Macaca fascicularis: one gene and its partners. The protein of the gene in region 5 interacts with the protein of the main gene of each other region in a pairwise test. Links are inferred from orthologs where the notes say so. Each region holds a gene or a part of one and is shown on either strand. Other genes may lie near its edges. The genes, in order: SIAH2, TRIM54, TRIM38, GMCL1, UBE2I, ARK2N and KLHL12.

Region 1 (4,279 bases), on a different chromosome or scaffold from region 5:
TTGGCCCTTTTAAATTTCAGCTTGCAAAGTAATGGCTTTGCCCAACTGCATTCTTATGGAATAGAGACTCAGAAAATCACTGACATGTACAGAAAGGCTGAGAACCCCCGATTCCCAGAACTACTCTTCAAGGTTGATTTCACTAGCCTGTTTCACGTTAGGAAAGAACATATGCTTTCATAGGAACCAGAGTTCTAGATCCTGAAAGTGAAACTTCATGCTCCATATAGCATAACTGTTTCCTTCCCTTTCTCTTGGGAACAACACAATTCTAAGGTTACATTTTAAAAACAAATTATGGATTACTGACTAATATCAAATGCTCATTTGTGAACTAAAACTCACCTAAAAGCCATTTCTTTTGTTAGCCACTGCGGGTTTAAGGGAAAGTAAAGGGGTGAGAAAATGGCTCCCCAGAAATCCTGTGGGGCATCCCCCACCCCTGCAATATATCTCAAACATCAAATAGCCACTCTATGTTAACTACCACCAAACCTTTGTCTCCTTTTTCACAACCCTAAGACAACTATGCAAATACTTCATCTAAATTTTGAGAAACTGGGCTGAGTGAATTAGTAAGCATTATATGAGGAGGGGTTAAAAGCAATTTATTAAGGTTGCCTGAAACACCCTAGTCCAAACACTGATTCAAACTCTTATTTAAATATGCTATTTTAAACCTCATTTGCAGCAGGGCAGCAGACCAAATTAAAGCACTCATTTTACTGACCTGAGTCCCACGCCTGAATTCTCTGGTGGATTATTTTTAATTTAAAAATGAGCTCTTGTCCTATAAAATAAGCAGCACCAAGGAGAAATACAAGACAGCCTAAAGGGCCCAAGAGGCAGAGCAAGTTACTTTTACAAAAAAACTGGAAAGTATTAATGACAATATTTCTACTTCTAATTTCAGAAAATGAACTTTACAGTATAGTTCTAGGTCATAATGAAGTAATGTAGACAAGTATGTCTGTGAAACTGCTCCTGAAGGTAAACAAATGTTACAATATGACCACACAATGCAATACTATACAGTCATTTAAAATACAGTGAAGTCGACTAGGTTTCAGGCATAGAGAAATATGTATGATAATATGAATTTAAAAACAGCAAGTTGCAGATGCCATTTTTGGAGAAAAACTTACATCTATGTGTGGGTATTAAAAAACCTCCCTGACATACACTGACATCTATGATTCTATATTTAGCTGCGAGGGTGTATGTATATATAGTTTAAAAAGATACACACTAAACCTAACAATGGTGGGAAAGGAGGGGAGAGGTCTTGGTCTTTCATTTTACTTATTGTCTTGGCTTGCATTTTTCGCAAGGGCATTGAAAACTTTTTACATTAAATAAAAAATGAACTGATGAGCTTTAAACAACTGTAACAACAGCTCTTGAGTGCCCTTGTTAATTTCTTGATTGACTGTTTTCACCCCACATAGTACAAAAACGCAGCCACAACTCCTCAGTCCTTCCCAGTCCTTGGAAGGCTAGGAGAGAAAAAGGCGTGGCTTGCAGGGTTTTCTTCTAGCTAGAAGAAAACAGGCTGTAGGCGCCCTTTTTTTAGCTACACTCCCGAGAGCTCCCACGTGTCAGGGGTGCGCAGACTGTAGGCGCGGGGTGCAGGACTCCAGTATCAATTCAGCCAAGCCGAGCGCTGGACAAGGGTGCGTTTAGCTCGCCCGTTTCTTCCCTCCTCAGTCCCCACATAGTCAGTTTCTCGGTCCAAGTTTTACTGGTGCGGCCCAGCCCTATCGAGCGTACCCGAATACATGTCTGCAGAGGACGCGGGCATTGGGCCGGGTGAGCTACGATGTTCTGACGACCAGCGAATGCCAATTAATCTGTTAACTGTCAATTAACCATTACTCGGTAAATGTCAACCCAGAACTACTCCCAAAGTGGGTTTGAGGGAGGGTAGACGAAATGTAAACATTTTTTCTTTTTTTTTTTTTTTTAAATGAGAGATGCCGCCCGCCTTTCCGGGCCTGCCAGTGGGCTGGAGGATACCGGAGTCCCTGAGGTCACCGGCGGAGATACGCGGGCTGTCCCTGGCCTTACCTTACAGGGAAACAGGACTGCCGAGGCCACCTTCTCCATAGCCAGGTTCCTGATGCTGGGCGTCAGGGCGCCCCTGCACGTCGGGCAGCAGCTCAACTTCTGGCGGCATTGGTTACACACCAGGTGCCCGGCCTGGCACTGCAGGATAGGAGGCAGGACATAGTCAAAGCAGACCGGACACTCGAAGAGCGAGGTCAGCTCGTGGTGCTGCGGGGACACCGGGCCGGCCCCGCCGCCGCCGCCGGGGCCCGAGATCACCGCCGCCGCGGCGGGCACCGCGGACGAGCCGGGGCCCGCAGCCGAGATGGTGGCAGCGGCCGGGGGCGCAGCCGGGGACGGAGTGTGCTGGGGCTGCGGCGGCGGCTGCTTGCTGCAGGGTTTATTAGCGCTGGGGCCGGTGGAGGACGGGCGGCTCATCGCGCTCCGAACCAACCATGGAACTGCGGGCGCCTGCCTGCCGCGGGGCCGCCCGGGTCAAGGCGGTGCGCGCCCCGCGGGCAGCGAGCTCCGAGGCAACGCCACGGCGCCCAGCCCAGGTCTGGGCGGCAGAGACTCTCGGCCTCCGGCAGGCGGAGGGCTGGACCGCGCTGATGCACTCCCCAGCCCCCGGCGTTCCGAGCACGCCTCCGCGTCGGACCCCGCGCGATGCCCTCCTCCCAGCGGCGTCCGGGCCCCGAACCCAGCGGTGCGCAAGGAGCCCCGGCCCACCCGCTTCTGGAGCGGCCGCTGACGCAAGCCCCGGGGGCGCGCGCGGACGTGACGCCTGGACACGTGTGCGGCCGCCCAGGCGCGCGGGGACTGGCAGAGCCACCCTGCGCCGGGGCGCTGGCTCCGCCCGGCTCCAGCTGGCAGCGCAGGGGGCCGCCTAGCGCCGGCGCTTCCTGCTCGGGCTGCGGGCCGGGCCTGCGCCAGTGAGCATGCCTGGCTCGCCGCAGCCCCGCGGGGTTGTCTTTTCCGGGTTGGCGAGGGAGGCCACTCTCGGGGAAGGCGTCGCCGAAGTCCTCTGGCCACACCCCGGGGTGCCTGGCCGACGCGTCCCTCAGCTCAAACGAGAAGGGCAACTTCAGGCTGGGCGGGGGCGTGGACGGTGGGTGGGACAGTACGCTGGCGGGCAGGGGCGGGGCGCCGGCGCCCCTGCACTGGTCGGAAAAAACCGAGAGGTTTGTCTTCTCAGGGTTGAGTCACCAGCGTGCAGGCGAGGAGGGCGACGCGGCCAACCGAGTTCTGTGTTCCGAGTCAGGACGGGAAGCATTGGGTGGGAGCAGGGCGAGGGGCCGAGTTGGGTCTGCAGGGGGCACAGGACCTAGTTTTGTACAGTTAACGGTGGGGTTGAGTAAAGAAGGGGGGCGGTGGGGAGGAGGTAAGCCCCCTTTATTCCTTTCCCAGCGGACCAGGAGGAAGCTTCGTTGAATTAAGCGCCCCTGGCTTGTATAGCCGAGGAGGGAGCTCATGGACAGCGTTGGCTAAGAGTTCGAGATCATCTAGGAATGCCAGAAACGTGGGTTGGGTCGTGAGGTCTCTGAAGACAGTAGGTGAGCCTCCAGTGTAGGGCGCTGAGTCCGCTTGGTAAAGAGCCGGCCGAAGTCCGAGTCTTTGTTGCGAGCTGTAGGCCACCCTGCGCGCCCAGCAGAAGCGCTAGAGAGGGCACCGTAGCCCGGAGTGAACCGCATGTCCAAATGTAACTGTGTGCTCCGAGTTAAATTGTTTTTCTGCAAACTTTGCTTAAGCCAACGATTCCAGAATTGGGGAAAGGGTTACCCTAGGTGGAAATCGGTATTTGTAGGAGCCACAGAGGTAAGGACCAACTATTAAGACTGAGTGAAAAATGGTTCCCTCCAACTGTAAAAGTGGAATAAAAACAATACCTATCTTATAGGTGGGGCAGTGAGGAGTAAATGAGTTTAATATGTTTCAAACTTTTGAAACAACCTCGCTCATCATAAGCACTATTTAAACATTAGCTGTTATCTTTTTAAAATATTAGTGGATGTTTAATATGAATGAATACAATTTGTCCAAGAAATACGGCGTTAGAGCCCAGAAGAAATAAAGTTTAATCTTACAAAGGGCTTCTATAGAATGACTGCATGCATGGAATTGATGGAATTTGGTATAAATCTTGAAAAAACGTAATAGTTGTAGATATTCAATCGTTCGGTAAATGTTTCCTGAGCATTTATCACGTATCAGCTACTATTGGAGCTCTGAGAAT
Region 2 (4,012 bases), on a different chromosome or scaffold from region 5:
GCTCATCTTTCCGAGGGAGATCTACTGAGATATATTGAGATATACAGACTTGAGTGCAGCTGAAGAACTGGGTCAGCCTCCCACCAGGCCCTCCCAAATAAGCAGCAAGGGATGAGCTCTTCACTCTTCCTCCTTGGAGGGGCCAGGGCTGCTCTGCACCTCAAACGACACACATCACTCCAGACCCACAGGGCCACCCCAAAGCCCTGGGTATCACGTTATCTCCAAATATTCTGTACAGGGTTTGCCCCAAGCCATTCCAAGGTCTCTCTGAGCCCAGATCAGTATTCCAGAGCTTTCTGGAACTGAAACAGTGTGCTTGGGTAGAAAGGGTTGACTTAAACAAGCATGTCACTTGAACACATTCTAGCCTCCATGTATGGGGACTGCTCCTGGGCCCCTCTGCCAGACGACAGAGGCACCCAGGAATGCTCTTGGACATTCTGACCACTTTTCTATAGGACACGTCACCTTAACTTTCAAAACTTCTCTTTGTTTTCACACATTTCAAGTTCCAGTGAGAGGATGTTTCACTGTCAGTTCATGAGAAATGATGGCAAAATCTTTCCGCCATTTCCTCCTAGGCATCTCAGCCTGAAGGATGTTCGGAATTCCTCAGACCAAGGAAACACCAAGATGGTGGGCAAAGCATTGCCTCTCATGCAGGACTTCATGCCCAGGATGAGGAGGCATAGCATTTGGTCTGGGTCCCCCGAGACGGAAAATCTACTGCCTCTGAGATACTCTGGAGCTGAATAATGGCAGGTTTGGACACATAAAAGAATAGGAGAGGGAATGGGCCTCAATGGGAAGATGGCAGGAGAGACCACAGAGTGCTGGTCTGCAGTGAAGATGACACACAGCAGACATACAAGGGGCGGGTCACAGGGTACATCGTGGGATGGCGGGACCTAGCCAGTCCATTCCTTTCCCAAACAAGCTGCCCCGAGGAACTTAAGAGGGAAGTATTTTCTTGGTTAGGTTAAAAATCCCTTGTGTTTAACACATTTCCTCATCATTTCTGACACTGAAGAATACTTGTTTGGGATGTTCCGTATCACTGACACACATACTAAGCCAGCTCTGGTCTATTCAGGGTTTGTTTTTGTGTTTTTGAGACAGAGTCTTGCTCTGTCACCCAGGTCAGAGTACAATGGCATGATCTCGACTCATGGCAACCTCCGCCTCCTGGGTTCAAGTGATTCTCCTGCCTCAGCCTCCTGAGGAGCTGGGACTACAGGCGCCTGCCACCACGCCTAGCTAATTTTTGTATTTTTGGTAGAGATGGGGTTTCACCATATTGGCCAGGCCGGTCTCGAACTCCTGACCTCGTGATCCGCCGGCCTCGCCTCCCAAAGTGCTGGGATTACAGGCGTGAGCCACCACGCCCGGCCACATTCAGAGCTTTTGCTTAATCGGCAAGGCCGCGTGTGTGTGTGTGTGTGTGTGTGTGTGTGTGTGCCTTTGCCCCTCACCCTGATCTCTGTTCCATTTCATAGCCTACTAGAACCTCCCCGGTAGCACAGGAAAAGAAAAAAAAGCCCACTTATAATCCATTCTGGTATATGCAGCTTTTATTTCTAAACCAGTGGCTAAAATGGTATCTGTGAATTTGATTAGCTATGCTTGGCTCCATGACCACAAATAAACCAAAACTGGCTAGACTTCTAAAAGTAAATTTCTTTGCCTTCTCTCTTCTTGTCAAGTGACCTCAATAGCTTTGAACCAGTAGGCCTCTTTACTCAACAATCTGGAGGTAACAGGTATGAACTCAAGTTGGGGAGAGTTCCCAGTCTCCTGCCCACTGCGTCTAACTCTGTCCCCCACAACGGATGCCCTGAACTTTCCTTAAACACGAATCGTTTTACTGCCATTATGGAGCTTTCTCACAGGGTTGGGTTTTTTCTGTTTGTTTTTTAATGTTTCATTATCTCATTAATCTTTTCTCCGTATTTTCCGCAATGCTCTCAAAGTGTGAAACTCCAAACTGGAATGCAGAGTCTGGCACAGGCTCTTAAAAGGCCGGTGTAGGATCCCCTCCCTCCCAGTTTCCACAGGGTCTCCTTTCCTCAGCAGATCCCAGCACTCCAGCTGCCGTCTATGGACAGGCTGTACCTGCCAGCCTGCAGGGCAGCTGCTGACTCATGCTTGCTCTGGGATTTGCTTGGACCCCAGCCCTTCTGCTCTCCAGCCACAACAGCCACCACCTACCTCAGAGAGCACTCTATCCATCACTTTCTGGGGTCTTAGCTCTGACCTGATCAGTCCCCCACAGGTCTGCATTGCTTTACCTGGCCCTGCCCCATCCCTGGCGCCCACCTGGAAGACGTCGTTGGCACACTTGCGGCACAGGTTGTGTTGGCAGGGCAGGATCACCACTGGTTTGGAGAACATCTCCAGGCAGATGGGGCAGATGAGCTGCTTCTCCAGGTTGTCCATGCTGTGTGCATCCCCTAGCAGCGGCTTGAAACCCACGGTGAAGTTCATCCCCTCGGTGGTTGTGCCTACCCTGGCTTGGGTCCTGCTCCTGGCCTTCACTCACTGTCTGTAGACCCTTCCTCACTCAGACGGCCTGTGGATTCCCTTCTGTGGCTCACTCTTGAAATAGCTCTGCTCTCTCTCCTGTCCCTTTAACAACTTGTCTCGTCCCAGATAGCAGTCTTCAGACACTTCTGTCTCTACTTTCTGCTCTGCACCCTCGGCAGGCTCACGTAGTTTTAGCTATCCCTCTCTCTCTGTAAAGTCCTCCTTTTGTTTCCCAAATGACTCTCTCTTGTTCACTCTGTGGGTAGCACTGTTTGTCCCTTACTCCCCAGAGAGGAGATTAATTTTACTGTGGGGGTGGGGAGACAAGGGGCATCTGCATGACATTCCAATTCCCAATTTAGCTCATGTAAGGCGAGCCACAGCTGTCACGGAGTGAGTGACCCTGACTCACTCAGGAATGGGTGACTCCCCTGAGCAAGGGCAGGGGCAAGCACCACTGCTTACGGTGAAAGGTGGGTCAGCAAAGGTGCTGCCCTCTCACTCTGAAGGCTCCTCTGAGCCCAGGACCCCTGCTCTGGCTTGGGCCCTTCTTCCAGGACAGTGACACAGAATCTAAATCTGCCTGTGTGAGAAGCACCCATACATAGCTCAGGGTGGGAGGAAAGATCTTGCCAGACTTAGAGTCAGTAGCAGTTGCCTCCTCCACAGGCTCAGCCAGTGACCCTGGTCCTCCTCCTCAAGACTGTGTGATTCAGAACAGCAGCTCCAGAGACTCCATCAAGCCTCTTGTCCAATACCTCTGGCTCATTTTTGTTCTTGCCTGCCTTTTCTTATATCACCCTAGGAAATGAAGCTCAAGAGGCTAGAAATGAGTACTGTGCCAAGGCCTGGACCTACCTATGAGCATGCGCCCGAGGAAATGTGGGATTCTGGTTCGTGAACACATCCCTGGAGCCACTCTAAGGACTTCAAATTTGTTAGGAAATTGGGAGAAGGTGAGCTGGGCAGAAAGGACATGAATGCCAGGGACCTATTTTGGGCACCCAGGGAATCAACCTCCAGGGAAATTTTAGAGCACTGACAAAGTCATAATCATAAGGCTCCAGGAAGCCTCTGCCCCAGCTCCACAGTTGTCCAGGACTCCTCCTCTCCAAGCCAGGCTCGCCCCAGTTGTGAGCACTGGTCTTCTTTTTCTCCTACAGGTCTTTTTCTCCACTTGATATTAGCCAAAAAGCCAAGAAGCAATTTCTTTAGGCCTTTTTCCTCCACCCCAGACACAATTTGTCTTTTCTGGGTCCAAAATATGCCTTGGGATTGGACAAAAGCTCTTTTATTTACCGCCATTCTTTAGCCCTTCTCCCAGTCCAGGAAGAGAAGTCTGAGGAGTTAGTAGCTAGTGACCCTGAGTGGGTAGGAAATACACGGTGTGAGGAGGATACGAAACAGCAGCACAAAGAGGCAAGAGTGGGAAAAGAGTCCAGAAAGTGCAATCTTCTCCGGATCACATATTTCATGCCCCTATTTT
Region 3 (3,500 bases), on a different chromosome or scaffold from region 5:
TCTCATAAGAAAAGAAAAAGAGCCCGGGTGCAGTGGCTCATTCCTGTAATCTCGGCACTTTGGGAGACTGAGGCAGGTGGATCACAAGGTCAAGAGATCGAGACCATCCTGGCCAAGCAACATGGTGAAACCCCGTCTCTACTAAAAAATACAAAAATTAGCTGGGCGTAGTGGCGCACCACTGTAGACCCAGCTGTTCGGGAGGCTGAGGCAGGAGAATCACTTCAACCGGGGAGGCGGAGGTTACAGTGAGTCGAGATCACACCACTGCACTCCAGTCTGAGCGACAGAGTGAGACTCTGGCTCATTAGAAAAAAAAAAAAAAAAATAGAAGACTGAGAAAAGAAAAATAGTTTAGAGCAGTCTGAGCTATGTGAGGTATGCAAAATTTATCAGGACCAGTGAGACAGGAGTATGGGTCTTCAGTTAAGACCCCATGTTTAAAAGCATTTTGTTCCTGACTGGCTGCCTCATCTATTACCTACATGTTCCTGAGATTTGTAATAAAAAGAACAATGTATAGCCAATCAAAAGCTTATGCTATTTTAATGTAAATTCTTGGTAAACAATTTTAAAAACGGCTTTAAAACTGCTTTTTTTTCCCCTTAAATAACCACTTGCAACTGCTTGCTAACGAGGACAACTTGAAACTCTGCATCTGGGTTGCAGTTCTCAATCGTGGCCCAAACAAACTCAGCCTCAGCTTCTTCCTTTTAAGTCCTCTTTTCTTCAATACAAAATGAGATAATAGGGGTTGGAAGGAAAACCTTCAAGACCTATGGAGGTCAGTAGCAGCCAGCTCATCACATAGAGGTGCAGGTGAGGTGTATTTTCATCATGGTAAAAATTCTGGCTGCTTCATCTCCATCTCTAGAGCCAACATTGGAGCTTTTCAATAAAAGCTATGGCCTCAACCACCAGCACCAAGAAGATGATGGAGGAAGCCACCTGCTCCATCTGCCTGAGCCTGATGACGAACCCAGTAAGCATCAACTGTGGACACAGCTACTGCCACTTGTGTATAACGGACTTCTTTAAAAACCCAAGCCAAAAGCGACTGAGGCAGGAGACGTTCTGCTGTCCCCAGTGTCGGGCTCCATTTCACATGCATAGCCTCCGACCGAACAAGCAGCTGGGAAGCCTCATTGAAGCCCTCAAAGAGATGGATCAAGAGATGTCATGTGAGGAACACGGAGAGCAGCTCCACCTGTTCTGTGAAGACGAGGGGCAGCTCATCTGCTGGCGCTGTGAGCGGGCACCACAGCACAAAGGGCACACCACAGCTCTTGTTGAAGATGTATGCCAGGGCTACAAGGTGAGTGTGTGGGTCAGGGGGCCTTGGTAAGTACCAAATCTTATCCTGCTCCCAGGAGCTGAGATGATTTAGCCTGAAACCTAATATTATGGTTTGGAAATACAGCTTTCATTATGTCATTCTTCTGAAAAATAGTTTATGATGATTTCTTGCTAAATTATCTAGACTGTCCGTTCTGACCTTCAATGGGATGGTTGGACTCATCTCTATCCATCTGTGTTATGATGAATTTCTCCTTGCTTTAGAACAGGTTGTTCTCAAACCAAACACCCACATTTTTTCTTGCTTCACACTATGAATATCATTTGAAAAACCACAATATGTAAAACCATGCAGTAGGGCCTGCAAACAGGGAAGAAAGACCCATTACCTTTTAGGTATCTACAGTCTAGTAAAGAAGATAAACCATCAAAAATGTCTGCCTGGAGGTCCCTGGTTTTGGTGGTGGGGAGGGACATTTAGGGTAGGGAGTGGTTCATCTCAGAAGTAACTCTTGAAGGACACATAAAAATTGAACACCTATTGGGGGATTTTCATTTGGGGAATGAAGGGTCAGTGACATTGAAAATATCACTCTGGTACCTATACTTTTTTTTTTTTTTTGAGATAGGGTCTTGCTCTGTGTCCCAGGTTGGAGTGCAATGGTGTAGTCTCGGCTCACTGCAGCCTCAACCTCCTGGGGCTCAAGCAATCCTCCCACCTCAGCCTCCCAAGTAGCTAGGACTACAGGAATGCACCACTATACCCGGATAATTTTTTTATTTTTTGTACAGACATGGTCTGGATTTCTTGCTTATACTGGCCTCAAACCCCTGATCTCCCTCCCATCTCAGCCTCCCAAAATGCTGGGATTAGAGGCATGAACCACAGTGCCCAGCTACTCTGGCATGTCTATAATAAAAGGAATATCAAGGAGTAAAATTCAAACTATCCATATAAGAAAGGGAGGAGAGGGCAGATTTTAAGCAAGATTCAGGAAGAAGAGTAAAAGATTTGGAAATGCTTGGTTGTGGAAGGTGAAGCAGAGGGAGAGGTTTTGTGTACCATCCAGGCTTCTTGCCAGAAAGCATATTAAGGAAGGAGGGACTTTGCTGTTGGCAGCATGGAGGAATGGGCATAGTCCTGATGTCCTTTTTCCTTTTCTGTCCTGCCTAGATTTGAGGAAAATGTTGCCCCCTGTGTCAGGCTCCTTATTCTGTCCTCCACGAGACAGAGGTGGTCTTGTATGAAGGCTCTAAGTCCTTCTAAGGACATGTCAATCCTGACCCCTACTCAGCTCATGGCAGCTCTTCCTTAAACTCCATGGAACAGCTAATAACTGCAATGATGATATTCCAATTTGAATTACTTTTCCACCAAGTAGTAAGAAAAGGAGGCTGCTTATGTTGAAATTGAGTTTGGTCACTTACTAGATGGGCAATTTTGGGCATGTTATTTAATGTCTTGACACCTTGGTTTCCCCATCTGTAAATGGGGATAATAGCAGTGTCCTCCCTCCCTAAAACACACACACAGGAGGTGGTTATAAGCTTTGAGGACATTAAAATATAGAATGCATAGAATAGCACTTGGCATATAGCAAGGACAATGTCATCTTTTGCTAAAACAGTTACATAGAGCCCTTTCCTGAGAATGCTCGAGAATTAATGAGTATACTTGTTGGGTTTAGAGAGGACAGGAGACAATTCTTTTAGCATTGATTACAATTAGCAATTTGGGTCAGCTTCAAATCACTTGGCATCCTGATTTTTCATGACTCATAAGACACAAAATTTCATGTGTGCCAAACACTGGTATTGGTTTTGCTTGGTTCAGCATGTTATTTTACAAAATCTTTTAGATGATGATTACCTTGTTCTATATATAACTTTTTCCTGGCAGGACTCTAGTGGAGGGTGTAGCTCAGGCTCTGGGTCAGCAGATGAGGGTGCAATGCTCCACCAGCTGGCAGCCATAGCCCTTTGGGCAAGTTATTTTACCCCTTTCTTAGCCTCATTTTCTACAGCACAGCAATGATGTTTAAAATCCTACCAACTATTCAGGGTTGCCAAGGGGATCAGTATGTTCCTGCACATATAGCCTTTAGCATGCTCTCTAGCAAAAAACAAGGAGGACTCAATAAATATTCACTATTATTCAAATATATCTTAGAAAACTGGGATTCCCCCTAGGTCCCTAATGAAGA
Region 4 (3,500 bases), on a different chromosome or scaffold from region 5:
TCACGGTGTTAGCCAGGATGGTCTCAATCTCCTGACCTTGTGATCCGCCCATCTCGGCCTCTCAAAGTGCTGGGATTACAGGCGTGAGCCACCGCACCCGGTCTCAAAAACACATTTTAAAACATGATTAAAATGTTAGAGAAGGCAATTCCTTTCCAAATACTTCTACTGAAAAAGTTTATACTATACTGTCTTACCAGTAATTATTCTCAAATGGTAAAGAGGAAAAATATAAGTTCCAAACGATAAAAACTGTTGTTTTATTCCTAGTGCCTAGACCAATATCTGGAATAAAATATTTGGGCCCTTAGAGCAACATTGTATTCTATTTTGAAAACTCTGATTTTTTTTTTTTTTTTTTTTTTTTTAAGACAGAGTCTCGCTCTGTTACCCAGGCTGGAGTGCAGTGGCACGATCTCAGCTCACTGCAACCTCCATCTCCCAGGCTGAAGCAATTCTCCTGTCTCAGCCTCCTGAGTAGCTGGGATTACAGGTGCCCATCACCACGCCGGCTATGAAAGTTCTGAATTTTTAAAGTGGGGTGCAAGTAGTAATATTTTCAGTACAGAAATCGACTTAGTCTATATACTTTTTGGTGTTGTCTTTACCTGGATTTTCCAGGGGAGAACTTTCCACTCACACTCAATGTGAACTACAAAGCAACATTTCAGGTGAGTTTATCCAATTTAAATAACCATAAGCAAAATAAACACATTACGATCTTAACTTTAATGTTAAATATTTTTCCCCAACTATTCCCCTTTTATCAACAGAAGACACTGAAAAAAGCACTTTATGAAGTAATGACAAATACGTAGTATTAGGCTCGTATGATACTGAAATCTCAAAATCTCTTTCTAGACCAAACTTAGTTTTCACTAACAATGCTTACCATTTTTCTTACAGACATTTTACCAAATGAGAGGATTTAACCACTATGGTGTTCATGCAAAAGATTACTGTGAAGTGCAATGAGAAAGAACATGATTTAAGAGTTTAAGTGATTACTCTGTTACTCAAATAGAAAAAATACTTACTTGACATAAATATATTTTGTGTAAGCTCCATTCTTCTCCTAGAGCACAAATCTTAATGTCACTGTTTTCACCATTCAAAAATAATGTTTGATAAATATATTTAGATGTACTCTTTAATTTTTTCCTGTTAAAAGAAATGAAAAAGTCACATATTTATATAAATTGAATGTTTTACTGATTTTGCATATATTTCTAAATACTCCTTTTATTCAATTTCTATTAAATAGAGTCAACTTACCTATTGTGTAAAAGGATAGGGGGAGAGTATATATTCAAATTTTCTTGTGTCTAGAAGAGTACATAAGAAATTAACAATAGTGGTTATCTCTGGGGTCCTCTATGCATGAGAGAGATAGTGGAGAAATGGGGGCGGCATGGGAGGCAGACTTTTCACTACACACATTTTAGCAATTTTGGACTAATTTAATTACCTATTCAATAGATTAAGAAGTTAGCATGTTGATTTTTTTGCTTATTTCCTTATTTAAAAACCAGCACTATGAAGGAACTCAAATAGTGCAATAATCTGCAACTAGGAAATGGAGAACAAGAGTAAACATTTCACTTACCCAAGTAATTTTAAAATGATTTACATTTAATCTTACTTTGGTACCAACCTATTCTTAAACTACTTAAAATGTTTTCTTCCCGCTGGACAAATGGTTTGCAACCTTAGATCAAAGATTTTATTTTCTTATTAGTTTTTTAAATTTATTTATTTATTTATTTCAGATGAAAGGTTTTTAAAAACTGCTCAAAGGAGAAGTCTTAGGGGCCACCAAGGAGAGCTGAGGAGTGAACTGTGAGTATCCCATCTAACTTGAACCAGAGCAGCATCACCTATTATATCTGTAAACATACGGGATTTCTGCACAGATTTAATTTAAAGGAAGAACTTGACTAAAAAAATAAAGTTTGAAAATTATTGCTCAAAATGGTCCAGTAACCAAGAAAAGGCTCTAGGCAGAGGCTGATCAATATCTCAAATTCCTGACCAATTCTGACAGCTTTCCTAGCACATAAAACTTTCAATCTCTCTCTTTTTTTTTTTTTTTTTTTTTTTTTTTTTTGAGACGGAGTCTTGCTCTGTCGCCCAGGCTGGAGTGCAGTGGCCAGATCTCAGCTCACCGCAAGCTCCGCCTCCCGGGTTCACGCCATTCTCCTGCCTCAGCCTCCCGAGTAGCTGGGACTACAGGCGCCTGCCACCTCGCCCGGCTAGTTTTTTTTTTTTTTGTATTTTTTAGTAGAGATGGGGTTTCACTGTGTTAGCCAGGATGGACTCGATCTCCTGATCTCGTGATCCGCCCGTCTCAGCCTCCCAAAGTACTGGGATTACAGGCTTGAGCCACCGCGCCCGGCCCTCAATCTCTTTTTTAAAATGAAGTAATTGTTTCAGATGACATCCTGAACCGGTGAGTTTAACACCTGTGTACTTAACACCTCTTCCTAGCCAACAATAAAAACAGCACATGCCTTAGTGGTAACAGACTTGGGTTTGAGTCCTAGCTGCCCCCCTGTTCAGTTATCACAGCTGTAAAAAGAGGACATTAATAGTACCCACTTCATTGATTATGATAAGAAATCAAGAGACAATGTAGTTTCCAGTTCCTGATAGCAGAATGTACACATGTTGGCTTCCCATCCCTCCCCAAATTACATTAAAGATTAAGAGTACAAAAAGGAATAAGTCCACACCAGGAAAAGGTAAAGGGTAGACTCATCACTTGATGAGAGATTTACACAGATCTGAAGGTTAGAAAATAAATTCAAATGAAAAAGAACAGTGAAAGCCATAGCCAAAAAATACATTATGGAGGGCTAGGATGGAGGCTAAGCTTATCTGCCCGTTAGAACCCTTGGGAGAAAAGTAGGATGAGGTCTCAGGGAAACAAAGGCAGAAGAAAGAAGAGGGGCAGAAAATGGGGAAATTAGTGCCTTCTCCACTCTATGAACACAGATTATAGATAAGGAGAGTACAGATACTGAGGCAAAAATATTCCAAGGCTTTTCTAGAAACAGCACAAAGCTAATGGAAGATCTAAGGCTGTAGTGTAGCTGCTGGTGCCCAGACAAAGCAATCCTCATTCTGAAATTTAAAGAATCTGTGGCCTGTTCACTCCCAATCCATTCACCCTGAGTCATGGTTCCCAAACTCTGTGTGAAATTCACCAGTTCAGGATACCATCTGAACTTAGAGCACCACAGCCAACTCAGAGAGGCATGTGGAATATTTTAAATTTGAAGGAAACACAGTAACACCTTTCAGATACCATGCAATCTGCTATCATTAGGTTGTTTGGCCCTAATTATGAGCTATTTCTTTTGGACTAGGAGTGAAAATTACTAAAACATGAAATGTGCTGTGATCCATGAAAGCTTGGGAAACTCTGCTCTACAAAGCATGCCCCACCTATAACCAAGTTAGTAGTCTTCTTACTCAAAGAAGAGGTACATTGGAAATAG
Region 5 (4,099 bases):
AGGGAATGAATGAGGGAGGGAGGGAATGAGTGAGGGAGGGAAGGAATGAATGAATGAGGGAAGGAATGAGTGAGGGAGGAAATGAGTGAGGGAGGGAATGAGTGAAGGAGGGAGGGAATGAGTGAGTGAGGGAGGGAATGAGTGAAGGAGGGAGGAAATGAGTGAGGGAGGGAATGAGTGAGGAAGGGAATGAATGAGTGAGGGAGGGAATGAGGGAGGGAGGGAATGAGGGAGGGAGGGAGGGAATGAGTGAAGGAGGGAGGGAATGAGTGAAGGAGGGAGGGAATGAGTGAGGGAGGGAGGGAATGAGTGAGGGAGGGAATGAATGAGTGAGGGAGGGAATGAATGAGTGAGGGAGGGAATGAGGGAGGGAGGGAATGAATGAGTGAGGGAGGGAATGAGTAAGGGAGAGAAGGAACGAATGAACGAGGGAGGAAATGAGTGAGGGAGGGAATGAGTGAGGGAGGGAATGAATGAGTGAGGGAGGGAATGAGGGAGGGAGGAATGAATGAGTGAGGGAGGGAATGAGTAAGGGAGAGAAGGAACAAATGAATGAGGGAGGAAATGAGTGAGGGAGGGAAGGAATGAATGATGGAGGGAATGAGGGAGGGTGGGAATTAATGAAGGAGGGAATGAGTGAGGGAGAGAAGGAATGAATGAAGCAGTAAGGGAGGGAATGAGTGCGAAAGGGAATGAGGGCGGGAATGAATGAGGGCGGGAATGAATGAGGGTGGGAATGAGTGAGGGAGGGAAGGAATGATTGAGTGATGGAGGGATTGAATGAATGAGTCAGGCAGGGAATGAGGGAGAGAGGGAATGAGTGAGTGGGGGAGGGAATGAATGAATGAGGGAGGGAATGAATGAATGTGGTCAGTCCCCGCGGTCCCCAAGCACCCGGACACCGTGACCTTGGCGGCGGCCCCGCCGTCGGCGAAATGGGGGGCGGGGGGACCGGGAGAGCCCCGGGGCCAGCACGACCGCGCGTTGGCGAACGGAGTATCCCGCGCGCTCGCGGGGCTGGGGGCCTCTCGACCGGTCTCGGGAGTTGCGTGGGCGGGGGGTGGGGGGCTGTTGCCCGGAAGCGCCCCTCCCCCAAGGGCTCGCCCCGCCCCCGCCGCTCGTAGTCTCCCCACGCCCCGCCCCCGCCCAGGGCCCGCCCCCGGATTAGGGAGCATCCACACTTCTCCTCCCGTCGGTCATGCTCGCTTTCGGCCTTTTGTACGGGGTCGGCTCATTGGGCAGATGAGAAGGTCTCTCCGCCCACCGCCCAGAAATGGCCAATTGCAAGAGGTTTCACAGGGCGCTGAACTCGCGGGAGCGTCACCGTCCTGCGACGCTTCTGGGAATCCTTAGGCCTCAGTGGTCTTTGCCCCCCGGCCCCAGGCTCTGACCCCAAGGAAACCTCGGAGACCTGTGCCTGGAGAGGTGACCGCCGGGCATCCGGGGAGCTTTTGGAGATCTCGGCCTCCTTTATCCCCCGCTGCTCGCCGGCGTGTCCTCGGGTGGACGCGGGCACCCCGAAGGGGAGTTTACAGACGCTCCCTCACATCGGGGACGCGGCTCCTTTAAGGGCGTAGGTGTCCAGGGCGCCGCCTGACTGAAAAGTCACCCCCCCGGCCGGGCTCCTGGGGCGGACCCGGGGCGCGGGCGCGCGGCGGCGGGGCACGGGCAGCGGGGGGCGCGCGGCGGCGCGGGCGGTGCTCGGGGCCGGGCGGCGGTGGCAGCGCGCGAGGCAGGCGTGCAGAGGGCAGCCCTGCACCAGGCCCCGCCCCGCGCGCCCCGCCCGCGCCAGGGTCCTCGGAGCTGCTCGGGCTGCGCGCGGAGCGGGCTCCGGAGGGAAGTCCCGAGACAAAGGGAAGCGCCGCCGCCGCCGCCCCGCTCGGTCTTCCACCTGTCCGCGACGCTCGCCGGGGCCGCGGCCGCCCGAGGTGAGCGCGGGCGGGGGCCGGGCCGGGGCCGCGGGGCGGGGGTCGGGCCGAGGCCTCTACTCCTGTCGGGCCCGGGCCCCCGGCTGCCCCGCGCCCCGCCCCGCCGAGCCGGGCCCCGCGCCGCGGCCGAGCTTCCCGGGGAGCCCGAGAGGCCCCACGCTCGGCGCCGGTTCGGTCCGCGCTGCTGGCGCCGCGGGGCTGCGGCCCGAGCGCCCCGGCCGCCGCAGGCCTTGGGGGCCGGGGCTCCCCCACTTCGCCCCCGAGGTGCTCCTGGCGCGGGGCCGGGGCAGCCACCTGCAGCCGGGGCCCCGCGAGGCCGCGCCTTCCTTCTGCGCGGGGAGCGGCTTCCGGGGTCACTGTCGCCCCGCGGACGGAGGGGATGGGTCGCGGGGGAGACTCTTGGATTGCAACACCGCTGGCTCGCGGGGGTGGGGGCCGGCGAGCGGGCTTGTTTTCGGTGCCTTGAAACCAAAACAAGTCTTAAGTTTTCCTGCGCCTCTGAAGATGCTGCCCTGGCGCTTGCTGGGGCCCTGAACGTGAGCGCCTCGCTGGAGGGAGTTTTATTGTTTTGGGGATGGGTTTTTACCGGTTGAATAGTGGTTGGCTCTGGTAGTTAACGTGCGTGGGAGGAAGGTAAGGGAGTGATTAGCTGGGCTTGTGATCGTGGCCTGTAGTCACGCTTGAATCGCAGAATGAAGTGGTTTCGTTTTTATAATTGGAAGTTACGCTTTGTTTCTCTGTTTGCAAAGTGCCTGTCTTTGGGGAGTTCGGTTTGTTTCCTTTTATAGGACCTACGCCGAATGTTTTTTGAAGAACAAGAAACATTGCGTTTGGGTAGAGAAGCTGCGCAGCGGAAGACAGGACGGGACCTGAGTTTGTCCTGATTGCTCCTTCAGAGGTCCCTTCCCTAGACCACTGGGTGGTTGAAGGTGTGCGCTTGTGTGATGTGTCAGGGTTTGGGATCTTGCTTCAGAAACATTCTGGGGGCCTGGGGCAGATCAGGTGCGGCCAGGTGAGCGTCTCCTGACTGCAGGTGCCTGGGTCTTGCAGAAGGGAATACCTCCCCAAGCCTGGGAGAGTTTGCGTTTGGGTGCAGGAGGACCTTTACAGGCTTCTTGTGCCAGCCGTCGTGGCGACCACCCGTTGTGGAGATGAGTGCGGTGGAGTTGTGAGAGGTGAGTGCTTTGCTCACCTTCAGCCAGGAAGTTGCTCGGAAGTCGGTGCTGTCAACCAGCAGAGCAAGGTGGTGATCCGAGAAGCTAAAGCTCAGCCGGTCGCGGGTGCCCAGCAGGACAGAAGGCAGACCTTCAGGCCACTCCTGGAGTGCTTGGCCCTGTCCTGGTTGCTGCAGTGTCTGGGCCTTGCTTGGCTCTGATAGATGAGGGTTGTTTTTGTCTTTGCCTCATATAAGTTCCCTGCTCTGAAGGGTCTAGTAACTGCTAGCCATTCACTTAGTGCTTATCTGTTAATTTGGAAGGGCAAATTCGATTTTCAGCGGGATTTTGAATGCTTCGTCTGTGTTGTGATTACATTGTAACACATTGGCCACTTTCTCCAGGAGGCCAGTAGGAGGGGGAGCAGGGGGAGGGGCCTGGCTTCTGCCTAGGACAGGGTGGGTGTGCACCTGTGGCTCCTTGCCCTGTGGTGCAGTTTCCTGTGAGACCACCCCGTGGTGCTGAGTGCTTTGGGGCAGGGGATACAGCAGCATCAGCCAGACCTTGGCGGGAGGTCTCACAGGAGCACCCTCACGACTTCTCACATCTGAGACAGCAATAGCTAGGTGCTGGGACGGGGGCCTCTAGGTGGCTCTGTCCGGTCTTCAGTAGGAGGGCTACCTGTGGCAGGGTCCCAGGCCTGGCTGGCCTCTCTGGGGCTGGCCTCTCTGGGGCCTGGCCTTGCCTGGCTGTGAGGATCGTGTTGGCCATGGTCCTTCAGTGTCTGGAGCACTGGCCTGGGGCTTCAGAGACCTGCTTGATTCCTGGCCCCGCTCAGACCCCGGGCACCTGGGAGGTCGTGGCTCCTCAAAACGGCCGTTCACCAGGCTGCTTTGCACCGCACCAGGCACAGGCTGTGGCTACTCATGAAGCCCACCCTGGGGCTGGGGAAGCGAGAGCTGTGAGTCCTCAAGCCACAACTGAGCTGCTCCATGTGGAAGTGGAGGGTGGAGACAC
Region 6 (4,196 bases), on a different chromosome or scaffold from region 5:
GCACTTTGGGAGGCTGAGGCGGGTGGAGAACCTGAGGTCAGGAGTTCGAGACTAGCCTGGCCAACATGGTGAAACCCTGTCTCTACTAAAAAATATTAAAAATTAGCCGGGCGTGGTGGCATGCGCCTGTAATCCCAGCTACTCGGGAGGCTGAGGCAGGAGAATCGCTTGAACTGGGGGGGCAGAGGTTGCAGTGAGCCAAGATGGCGCCACTACACTCCAGTCTGGGTGACAGAGCAAGACTCTGTCTCAAGAAAAAAACAAAACAAAACAGAACAAAAAACAAAGAAACAACAATAACAACAAAAAACAGGAGAAGGACCCAAGATGGTATCTCAGTAGTCAGGGCAGTATTCCCACAGCATTGGTTAGATCAGACTGTCATGGAATCTTTTAAAAACTCAGTGTGTTAGTCCACATTCACTCATTCATTTTCGGACAGTTGTGATCTTAGTAGTGATTTTTTCTTTGCTTTTCTTTTTTTCCTGCAAGAGGCTGGGCTCTTGTCACTACCCCACAACCTCTCAAATCCCTTGAGGACTCAGGTAGCAGAAAGTAAATACATGAATGAACGAGTGAAATAACATATACAGATAAACTACTTAGCTAGCACACACTACGTTCTCAGTGATTCTCAATGAGGCAGTGGTGGCTGTGGTTAAGAAGTAAGCTCTGCCTGTGTTGTAATCCAACACTGCCACTTACTTGGATGTGTCATCTTGGGCAGGTCACTCTGTGCCTCAGTTTCCACCTTTGCAACTTGGGGCTAGTAATGCCATCCAACTCATAGGGTTGTTATGAGTTGTAAAGAGGATTCATTGAATTTAACCCATTTAAATGCAAAGTGCCTGGTATGTAATAGGCATTCAATAAAAGTTATTTTCTTTTCATAATTATTCTTGTAGTTAGGGATGAAAAACTCGCACTCCTGTAGGCAGTCAGAAAAAATGAGTGAAGTGGGGGAACTAATGGGCCTGGTCTGAAGGGGGATACTGATGTTTAGGGGAGTACGGACTCAGTAGTGTAAGATTTTCAGAATCTCCTCTTGACGGGTCTCATCCGAGGTTCCAGCACAGCTCTGTAAAGGTGAAAGCTTTATTATTATTATTTTTCTTCTCAAAACACTGCAGTGCTTTGGGTGAGCGCGGGTCCTTGGCCAGATCTTGAGTCGTGAGATGCGTCTTCAGCATCTCCTGCTTCTCCTTGGGAAGCCCTCTACCCGCCAGTTGGCCCGCGCCCTCCTCCCCGTTCTCGGGGTTCGATCCACCTCCTTTCCCCTACCCTCCTAAGGGCTGACTGCAAATCGGAGGGCGACTGCAGAGGCGGAATTCGGGGCAGAGCGGCGTCTCCCCTGCGGGCCCCGTCCCACCAGCAGGTGGCGGTCGATCTGCAAGGCCTGCAAGGTGCCCCGGCAGAAACTTGAGCAGATGTTGGTGCCGCTGCCCAAGAAGACCTCAGCCTAGTCTCCCCGAGCCCGGCTGAGTCTCCGCGAGCCCAGCTGTCCGCATCCGCGAAAAAGCGGGGAGAGAAGGGCGCGGGCCCTCCGGAGGCTGGAGCGACTCAAAGATTCAGACACCGCGAGCTGCTTTCGGAAGGGCTTCAGGAGGGGGTGAGTACTGAGCAGCGCACAGAAAAGGGAGCGCTGTCCTTTGTTGAAGGCATTGTCCTTGTCTTGCATTGAGTGGCTTTCACACACCCCGGGAAAGACATTTCTGGAAGGAGACAGTCTCAACAGAAGGAGGGAGCGCGGGAAAGAAGCCCGGGGAGCTGGCGCCTTTACGCCCCGCGGTCTGCAGCGGGAGGAGCGCGGGTTCCATCGCGCCAGATGGCGCTGTCTGGCTTTTCTCGGGCCTCGGGCGCCAGTCTCCAGAGGTCCCCGGCGCAGCAGCCTCTCTAGCCGGCCGACGCAGGCTCTGTGTTTCCGGGCGGAAGTGAGGCGCCGAGCGGAACGGCCTCTGGTGACATTTTCTTGGGGGCGGCGCGGACGACTGAAGGGACTTGGTGGTAGAGGCTGCGGAGGCGGCGAGGTTCACTTTGATCCCGGCAGGGGCTCTGACCGCGACCCTCTGCTCGCCGCCGGCGCTTGTTCCGAGGAGGAGAAGGCGGCGGTGGCCGTCGCGTCCTGAGTCACCGCAGCGGGGAGAGTCCCAGCCGGGGGGTCGGTGCGTGCCCCGACGGGGCGCGCGCGGAGCGAGCGAGGAGGCACGGAGTCGCAGCGGAGCGCAGGTGAGGCGGGAAGGGGCGCAGGGCCGCGGCCTGGCTACTGGTCGAGTTGCGGAGCCCGGGCTGCGTCCCAGGGATGCGTCGGGGCGAGTCGGAGGGCTGCGGGCCGCGGTGAGGGCTCTGCGGCGTCCGGACGCTGGGATCCTGGCGGGCCCGGCTGGTGGGCGCCGGGAACTCGCAGCCTGGACTGGCGTCTGACGCGGGGGCATCGCACCGCTCCAACCTCCTTGCTCGTCAGCCGCTGGTGACCCTAGCGTCCTCCCGGCCCGGCGGAGTTGGCTACGGCACCCCAAGCCCCCAGACGCTGGGGCCGGGTCGAGGCAAGTCCTTTTCCGTGGGGTACTAAGGAGAGGCTGGAGGTGCCGCAGTCCCCGGGCTGCGGGGGGAAGCGGCTTCACGGCGTTGGAGTTGTCTTCACGCAACTTTCTGGCTCCTAGGCCCGCCTGGGAAGCAGTGGCGGCAACTCCGCCAGCTCCGCGAGCCGGGGGTCTGGCGCCGATACCTGCCCCTGCAGTGGAGAGCTCCAGGGCTGCGGCCGCAGTGGCCTTGGAGGAGGGAGAAAAGGCTTTCTTAGGCTTGGCGCCGCCTGCCTCTCGGCGTTTCCACTACCTTCGGTCGGCAGGCGCCTCCGGTCAATGGGAGAGATGTGTCAGTCTCCAAAATTGACCGCTTCTGGGGAGTTCGTCAACTTTATTTCAAAACCGGTGAGGATGTACACTGACGAACCCGGCTTAAAGACTATCGCCTTTACGCAAGCCATTCATTCTCACTTTTAAATTGTCCGCCTACCCCCCACCCCACTCCGTCCCCGGCAGCCCCCATCACAAAATTGATGTTCGCAGGTTGAAGTAGAGAACATCGGTAGGAGCCCTCCCAGATAGATCCTTGAGCAGTTTCGGCTTGGATGGGTTTTTCGTTTTTTGCCTGACCTTTTGCTTTTTGAATCCTCCCACCCAGTAAAATTAAAATCCCACTGATAATACTTCGTCAAGGTTGGACTTCTTAATTACAAATACATCTGCCAATTTTGCTTAGGCTATTATTGTGTAGTATTGGGTACATGCTAACAGTTTGAATCACTCCCTTTCTTCTCTTGGGATATTTTAAGGATGGAAGCTATTAACTTTCTAATGTAGTTTTGCTGATCCTGGCAATCTAGATTCCTCCAGTAATCAGAGCATTGCCTTTTGGTTTAACAAGCATTTTTAGAGGCCTGCAATTGATAGTTACTACCTGATGTCCTGAGGAGTCACATCGCTATTTTATTTATTTATTTATTTATTTGAGACGGAGTCTGCTCTGTAGCCCAGGCTGGAGTTCAGTGGTGTGATCTCTGCTCACTGCAACCTCCGCCTCCCGGGTCCTGGTTCAAGCAATTATCCTGCCTCAGCCTCCCGAGTAGCTGGGATTACGGACACGAGCCACGCCCAGCTAATTTTTGTATTTTTAGTAGAGACGGGGTTTCACCACGTTGGCCAGGCTGCTCTTGAACTCCTGACCTCGTGATCCGCTCTCCTCAGCTTCCCAAAGTGCTGGAATTACAGGCGTGAGCCACCGCGCCCGGCCTGAATCAGATTTCTTAATGGGAAAAATTTTTTTTCTGACACATTTTTGGGAAAATTTTTTTTTCTGACACCTTTTTGTGAAAAATGGGATGGACTGGACATTGGAGCTGGAAACTTTCCCCATTGTTAGAATAAGTTCACAGTGTAGTTGTTACTTACTCACTTTATATTACTTTAACATGCATCTATTTGAGAGTAGCTGTCATAATCTTTGTTTTATGGTTATCATGATTAATTCAAAACCCATATAGTAAAGATAAATTCAGCTTTAGGTTCTAATTTAATGCAGTTCCTTTAGGACTGAGGGCTAATGCATGTCCTTCAAAGGTTTCTTGCTCCTAATGTTAATAGTGACATTGGTACTTTCAGTCTTTTTATTGTATGACTAGTAAATTCTGTGCGCTTGTG
Region 7 (4,006 bases), on a different chromosome or scaffold from region 5:
TAGACTTTAGAAGGAGAAAAGGCCGGGTGCAGTGGCTCACACCTGTAATGCCAGATGTGGCCACTCTGGGAGGCCAAGGTGGGAGGATTGCTTGAGCCCAGGAGTTCAAGACCAGCCTGGGCAACACAGTGAGACCCTGTCTCTACAAATAAATACATAAATAAATAAAATTAAAAACAAAAAAAGGAGAAAAATTGGAAAACAAATTTAAGAAATAGTAAAATCCAATAGCTGACATTTGTGTTTTACTGCATATTAAACTACTCTAAGCATTTTGTACGTTATTTCATAAAATAATCTTCACAATAACCTTAATAACCAGTTATTACATATTACTATTATTCCTAACTTAAAGATGAGGAAACTAAAGCATAGTCATCTAAGTGGTAGATCTTATCCAGAATCTGCCAAAACATCACACTGTAAAAATTCACAATTATATCAAAGTTCTACTATTTTATTCAGTGAAATAAGACAACTAGAGTACCACGGGAGTTTCATTTGTGTGGGGCTAACTTATCACTTACCTCACTAGTGAACATGGCACAGAAGTAATCACTACAGGCAGCCAGCACAATCCGATGGGCAGGGAAATCCTTCTGCTCTACTCTCAATGTCACATCACAGAGGGTATTGCTCTTCCTGAGGGAGTTCATTGAATTGAGGATGGATTTAGCATGAGTATTTGTCATTATGTCTTTGGGGGCCATAATGCCTCCCATAAAGCAGTGCGGAGAAAAAACAAAATGGGTCCTTGGATTCTGAAGCTACAAGAGAAAAAAAACAATGAGCATATTCAAAGAACTAGGGAAACTGAACATATTTAATTAGTTTTACAAATTAAGAACCTAAGAGGCTTCCCTCAGACCCAAACATACACAAGTTGAGGGCACTCCTATGCCTGGCATCACCACCACTATCTAGCCACTATCTAGTACATGTAAAAGTTCTCTCTTCTTTCTCTGAATTCCTCTATCACGGAGTGTCCCTACCACTTGACATTTATTATGATCAATGTTGAAACGTAAGTAGAGATAAACAATATATGTCCTGTAAATCTTCACAAGGTTCTTGTCTCAAATGACAAATTGAAAATATACAATTTCTTAAAGGTGTTATATCATTACTATTTAATATCCTTAAGTAGATAAGTATTTAGAGGCTGAGGATCCTGCTTTATATGTATGCTTTCTATCCTAGAAGTTGCACAATGAATGTTTACAATTTAATGTAAGAAAAAGTGTGTATTCAACTTCAACTTAGAGAAAGGCCAGTCAGTAAAAATAAACTTTTTTCTAAAGAAGTAGCCAAATAATTATGTCTGATGACTTTCAGCTATATCTGGATTTCTTCTTAAAATGAAACTTCAGGCCAGGCCCAGTAGCTCACGCCTGTAATCCCAGCACTTTAGGAGGCTGAAATGGGTGGATCAGTTGAGGTCAGGAGTTTGACACCAGCCTGGCCAACATGGTGAAACCTAGCCTCCACTAAAAATACAAAAAATAGCCAGGTGTGGTGACGCGCGCCTGTAATCCTAGCTACCAAGGAGGCTGAGGCACGAGAATCGCTTGAACCCAGGAGGTGGAGGTTGAATTGAGATGAGATCACACCACCGCACTCCAGCCTGGCAATAGGGCGAGACTCTGTCTCAAAAAAAAAAAGAAAGAAACTTCAATTGACCTATTACCCTAACTGAATAGTGGAAACCACGCAAGTTATCGATGGACTTACACTTGCTTAAGATATTGAAGCTCCTCAACAAGAGGGTATTCCTACTCTATATCTGTAAATGTCCATTACTGGTTAACGAATCAATATTGGAATCCAAAACTTTCTGAAACGATCCGGCGGGGCGGGGGTAGGGGGACGGCAGGAAATAAAACTGTGGTCTCCAGAAGTTCGCAACTCACAAGTAATTTTTCAACAGGAAAAATGAGATCCTAAATTCTCATCTACTTCTGTTTATAGTTGGCATTTTACTCTATAAGCGCTATAGATAATCCCTCCAACAACTGCATGACCCATTTTGCAGAAAAGGGGGTGATTCATCAAAGCATATGTTTTTCAAAAAGACTTAAGTCAACTTAGTTTCAACTCTAGGGGTGCAAAAAGAGTCTGGAACAAATGTCCATTTACAGTGAAGACAGCCTGGGGGGTGTTTTATCGTTTCCGTGCCAAAATGACAGTACCCCTAGTGCAGAGTGGCCTTCCTTCTAGGGGATTCCTGCCTCAACACTCCAAGTCTCAGCATATCCTTCACCCTCACCCTTCTGAAGTGACCTATTTTCTAGAACTTCCGTTAACATCTGAATAGAGGGATTCCACTTCGGGAGATTCGGGGCAGGAATGGGGTAGTAAATTCCGGAAAGACTACATTCTAGAGAAGGAAACGAACTCCTTCCTTCTGATACCACCAGGCATATGACCGGCGCCGCCAGATGGAGGTACCGCAGGGGGGCAATTCAGGGGAGAGTTGAGAGGGCGACTGAGGCCAGATGCCCCGCCCCCCCGCCAGCCTTCCTCCTCTCTCCGGCATGTCTCCCATTCCGCCTTACAGGGAGACCAAGGATGGGGGGTAGGGCCATAACCCGGAGTTGACGGACAGGAAGGGAAGGGCTGACTGCCATCACTTCCGCGCAACTCACCTCCGCTCCCGAGCCCACACAGCAGCGCCGGGCCCGTCCCCAGCCTGTGGGGATGGAGTGGGGCGCGGGGCCAGCAGGCGGCTCAGGAAGAGCCGAAGAGCCGCCGCCGCCGCCCCCACCCGGAGGCTCTGGAGGCTCTGGAGCCGTCCAGGTCTGGTCCCTGCGGCCGCGCGACGTGATGACGCAATGCAGCTGGAGCACCGCCCTCCTCCCGCTCGAGTCTGCGTCACGTGAAGAGGTGGTGTCACGTGACCTGCCTGCACCCTGGTGCCGGGCCTCTGCACGTTGCTAGGAAGCCGAATTAGAAAAAGGTCTGGTGGGCAGGGCATGGTGGCTCACGCCTGTAATCCCGGCACTTTGGCAGGCCGAGGCGAGCGAATTACCTGAGCTCCGGAGTTCCACACCCGCCTGGGGAACACGGCAAAACCCCGTTTCTAAAAAAAAAAAAAAAAAAAAAATTAGCGCGGCGTGGTGGCCCCGACTGTAGTCCCAGCTACTAGGGAGGCTGAGGCAGGAGGATCACTTGAGCTAGGCGCAGAGGTTGCAGTGAGCCAGAGTCGCCACTGCAGAGACCCTGTTGAAAAAAAAAAAAAAAAAAAAGTCCGGGCGTGGTGGCTCACGCCTATAATCCCTGCACTTTGGGAGGCCAAGGCGGGTGTATTACTTGAGGTCAGGAATTTGAGACCAGCCTGGCCAACATGGTGAAACCCCATCTGTACTAAAAATACAAAAAACATTAGCCGGGCGTTGTCGCACGCGTCTGTAATCCCAGCTACTCAGGAGGCTAAGGCAGGAGAATCGCTAGAACCCAGGAGGCGGAGGTTGCAGTGAGCCGAGATCGCGCCACTGCACTCAAGCCTGGGCGACCGACTGAAACGCCGTCTCCAAAAAAAAAAAAAAAAAAAAGAAAGAAAAAACAAAAAAGGCCGGATGTTGTGGGGTCCGGCAGGGAGCCTGGGAATGTATCTACAGCTCAGCGACTGTCTGAGCCTGAGTTCCTCCCTACTGCTCACGAGGCAGGGCACACAGAGAGAATTCCAACGCTTAATATGCCAAGCATCTGATTGCAGCAAGTATGTTTTACCTTCCAGGTACTGAGAAACTTTTTGACATCGAGAAAACCCACAGAGGCCTCAAATTTTTTCACGTCCATTGTCCACAATGGCCTTTTCGTGCCGAACAACGCTGCGGCGAGAATCCTCTGAGCCCTGCGACCCACAGACCTCAGTATATACTCTGCATCATAATGGTCCCTGTCATCACCGCTGAATTGATTCTAAGGAAATTCTAATTGATTCAGTAAATTCTAATTGATTTTGGTGCACTTATCTTAGTGACTGAAAAGGCAAAGAGGTTAATTA

Evidence for each region.
Region 1: the proteins of UBE2I (region 5) and SIAH2 interact in a two-hybrid assay, tested with the Homo sapiens proteins (3 studies listed by BioGRID and IntAct). The link is inferred for Macaca fascicularis from reciprocal best matches to the Homo sapiens genes UBE2I and SIAH2.
Region 2: the proteins of UBE2I (region 5) and TRIM54 interact in a two-hybrid assay, tested with the Homo sapiens proteins (3 studies listed by BioGRID and IntAct). The link is inferred for Macaca fascicularis from reciprocal best matches to the Homo sapiens genes UBE2I and TRIM54.
Region 3: the proteins of UBE2I (region 5) and TRIM38 interact in a two-hybrid assay, tested with the Homo sapiens proteins (2 studies listed by BioGRID). The two-hybrid records come from large-scale screens. The link is inferred for Macaca fascicularis from reciprocal best matches to the Homo sapiens genes UBE2I and TRIM38.
Region 4: the proteins of UBE2I (region 5) and GMCL1 interact in binary tests that used the Homo sapiens proteins (3 or more experiments, as listed by UniProt). The two-hybrid records come from large-scale screens. The link is inferred for Macaca fascicularis from reciprocal best matches to the Homo sapiens genes UBE2I and GMCL1.
Region 6: the proteins of UBE2I (region 5) and ARK2N interact in a two-hybrid assay, tested with the Homo sapiens proteins (2 studies listed by BioGRID and IntAct). The two-hybrid records come from large-scale screens. The link is inferred for Macaca fascicularis from reciprocal best matches to the Homo sapiens genes UBE2I and ARK2N.
Region 7: the proteins of UBE2I (region 5) and KLHL12 interact in a two-hybrid assay, tested with the Homo sapiens proteins (2 studies listed by BioGRID). The two-hybrid records come from large-scale screens. The link is inferred for Macaca fascicularis from reciprocal best matches to the Homo sapiens genes UBE2I and KLHL12.

Annotation. Positions count from the first base shown.
Region 1 is NC_088376.1:53,611,089-53,615,367, forward strand, and holds the start of SIAH2 (E3 ubiquitin-protein ligase SIAH2), read right to left. Parts: upstream 2,801-4,279; 5' UTR 2,485-2,800; coding exon 2,068-2,484; intron 1-2,067. UniProt on the Homo sapiens protein: E3 ubiquitin-protein ligase that mediates ubiquitination and subsequent proteasomal degradation of target proteins.
Region 2 is NC_088387.1:94,935,227-94,939,238, forward strand, and holds the start of TRIM54 (tripartite motif-containing protein 54), read right to left. Parts: upstream 2,801-4,012; 5' UTR 2,488-2,800; coding exon 2,320-2,487; intron 1-2,319. UniProt on the Homo sapiens protein: May bind and stabilize microtubules during myotubes formation.
Region 3 is NC_088378.1:146,961,088-146,964,587, reverse strand, and holds part of TRIM38 (E3 ubiquitin-protein ligase TRIM38), read left to right. Parts: intron 1-874; 5' UTR 875-904; coding exon 905-1,315; intron 1,316-3,500. UniProt on the Homo sapiens protein: E3 ubiquitin-protein and E3 SUMO-protein ligase that acts as a regulator of innate immunity. Acts as a negative regulator of type I interferon IFN-beta production by catalyzing 'Lys-48'-linked polyubiquitination of AZI2/NAP1, leading to its degradation.
Region 4 is NC_088387.1:52,106,680-52,110,179, forward strand, and holds part of GMCL1 (germ cell-less protein-like 1), read right to left. Parts: intron 1,162-3,500; coding exon 1,038-1,161; intron 653-1,037; coding exon of another isoform or gene 609-652; intron 1-608. UniProt on the Homo sapiens protein: Possible function in spermatogenesis. Enhances the degradation of MDM2 and increases the amount of p53 probably by modulating the nucleocytoplasmic transport.
Region 5 is NC_088394.1:2,054,568-2,058,666, forward strand, and holds the start of UBE2I (SUMO-conjugating enzyme UBC9), read left to right. Parts: upstream 1-1,299; 5' UTR 1,300-1,573; intron 1,574-1,790; exon of another isoform or gene 1,791-1,928; intron 1,929-4,099. UniProt on the Homo sapiens protein: Accepts the ubiquitin-like proteins SUMO1, SUMO2, SUMO3, SUMO4 and SUMO1P1/SUMO5 from the UBLE1A-UBLE1B E1 complex and catalyzes their covalent attachment to other proteins with the help of an E3 ligase such as RANBP2, CBX4 and ZNF451.
Region 6 is NC_088392.1:43,648,450-43,652,645, reverse strand, and holds the start of ARK2N (protein ARK2N), read left to right. Parts: upstream 1-1,396; 5' UTR 1,397-1,609; intron 1,610-1,960; exon of another isoform or gene 1,961-2,226; intron 2,227-4,196. UniProt on the Homo sapiens protein: AMPK substrate important for exercise capacity and skeletal muscle function.
Region 7 is NC_088375.1:60,679,069-60,683,074, forward strand, and holds the start of KLHL12 (kelch-like protein 12), read right to left. Parts: upstream 2,801-4,006; 5' UTR 2,646-2,800; intron 768-2,645; 5' UTR 723-767; coding exon 528-722; intron 1-527. UniProt on the Homo sapiens protein: Substrate-specific adapter of a BCR (BTB-CUL3-RBX1) E3 ubiquitin ligase complex that acts as a negative regulator of Wnt signaling pathway and ER-Golgi transport.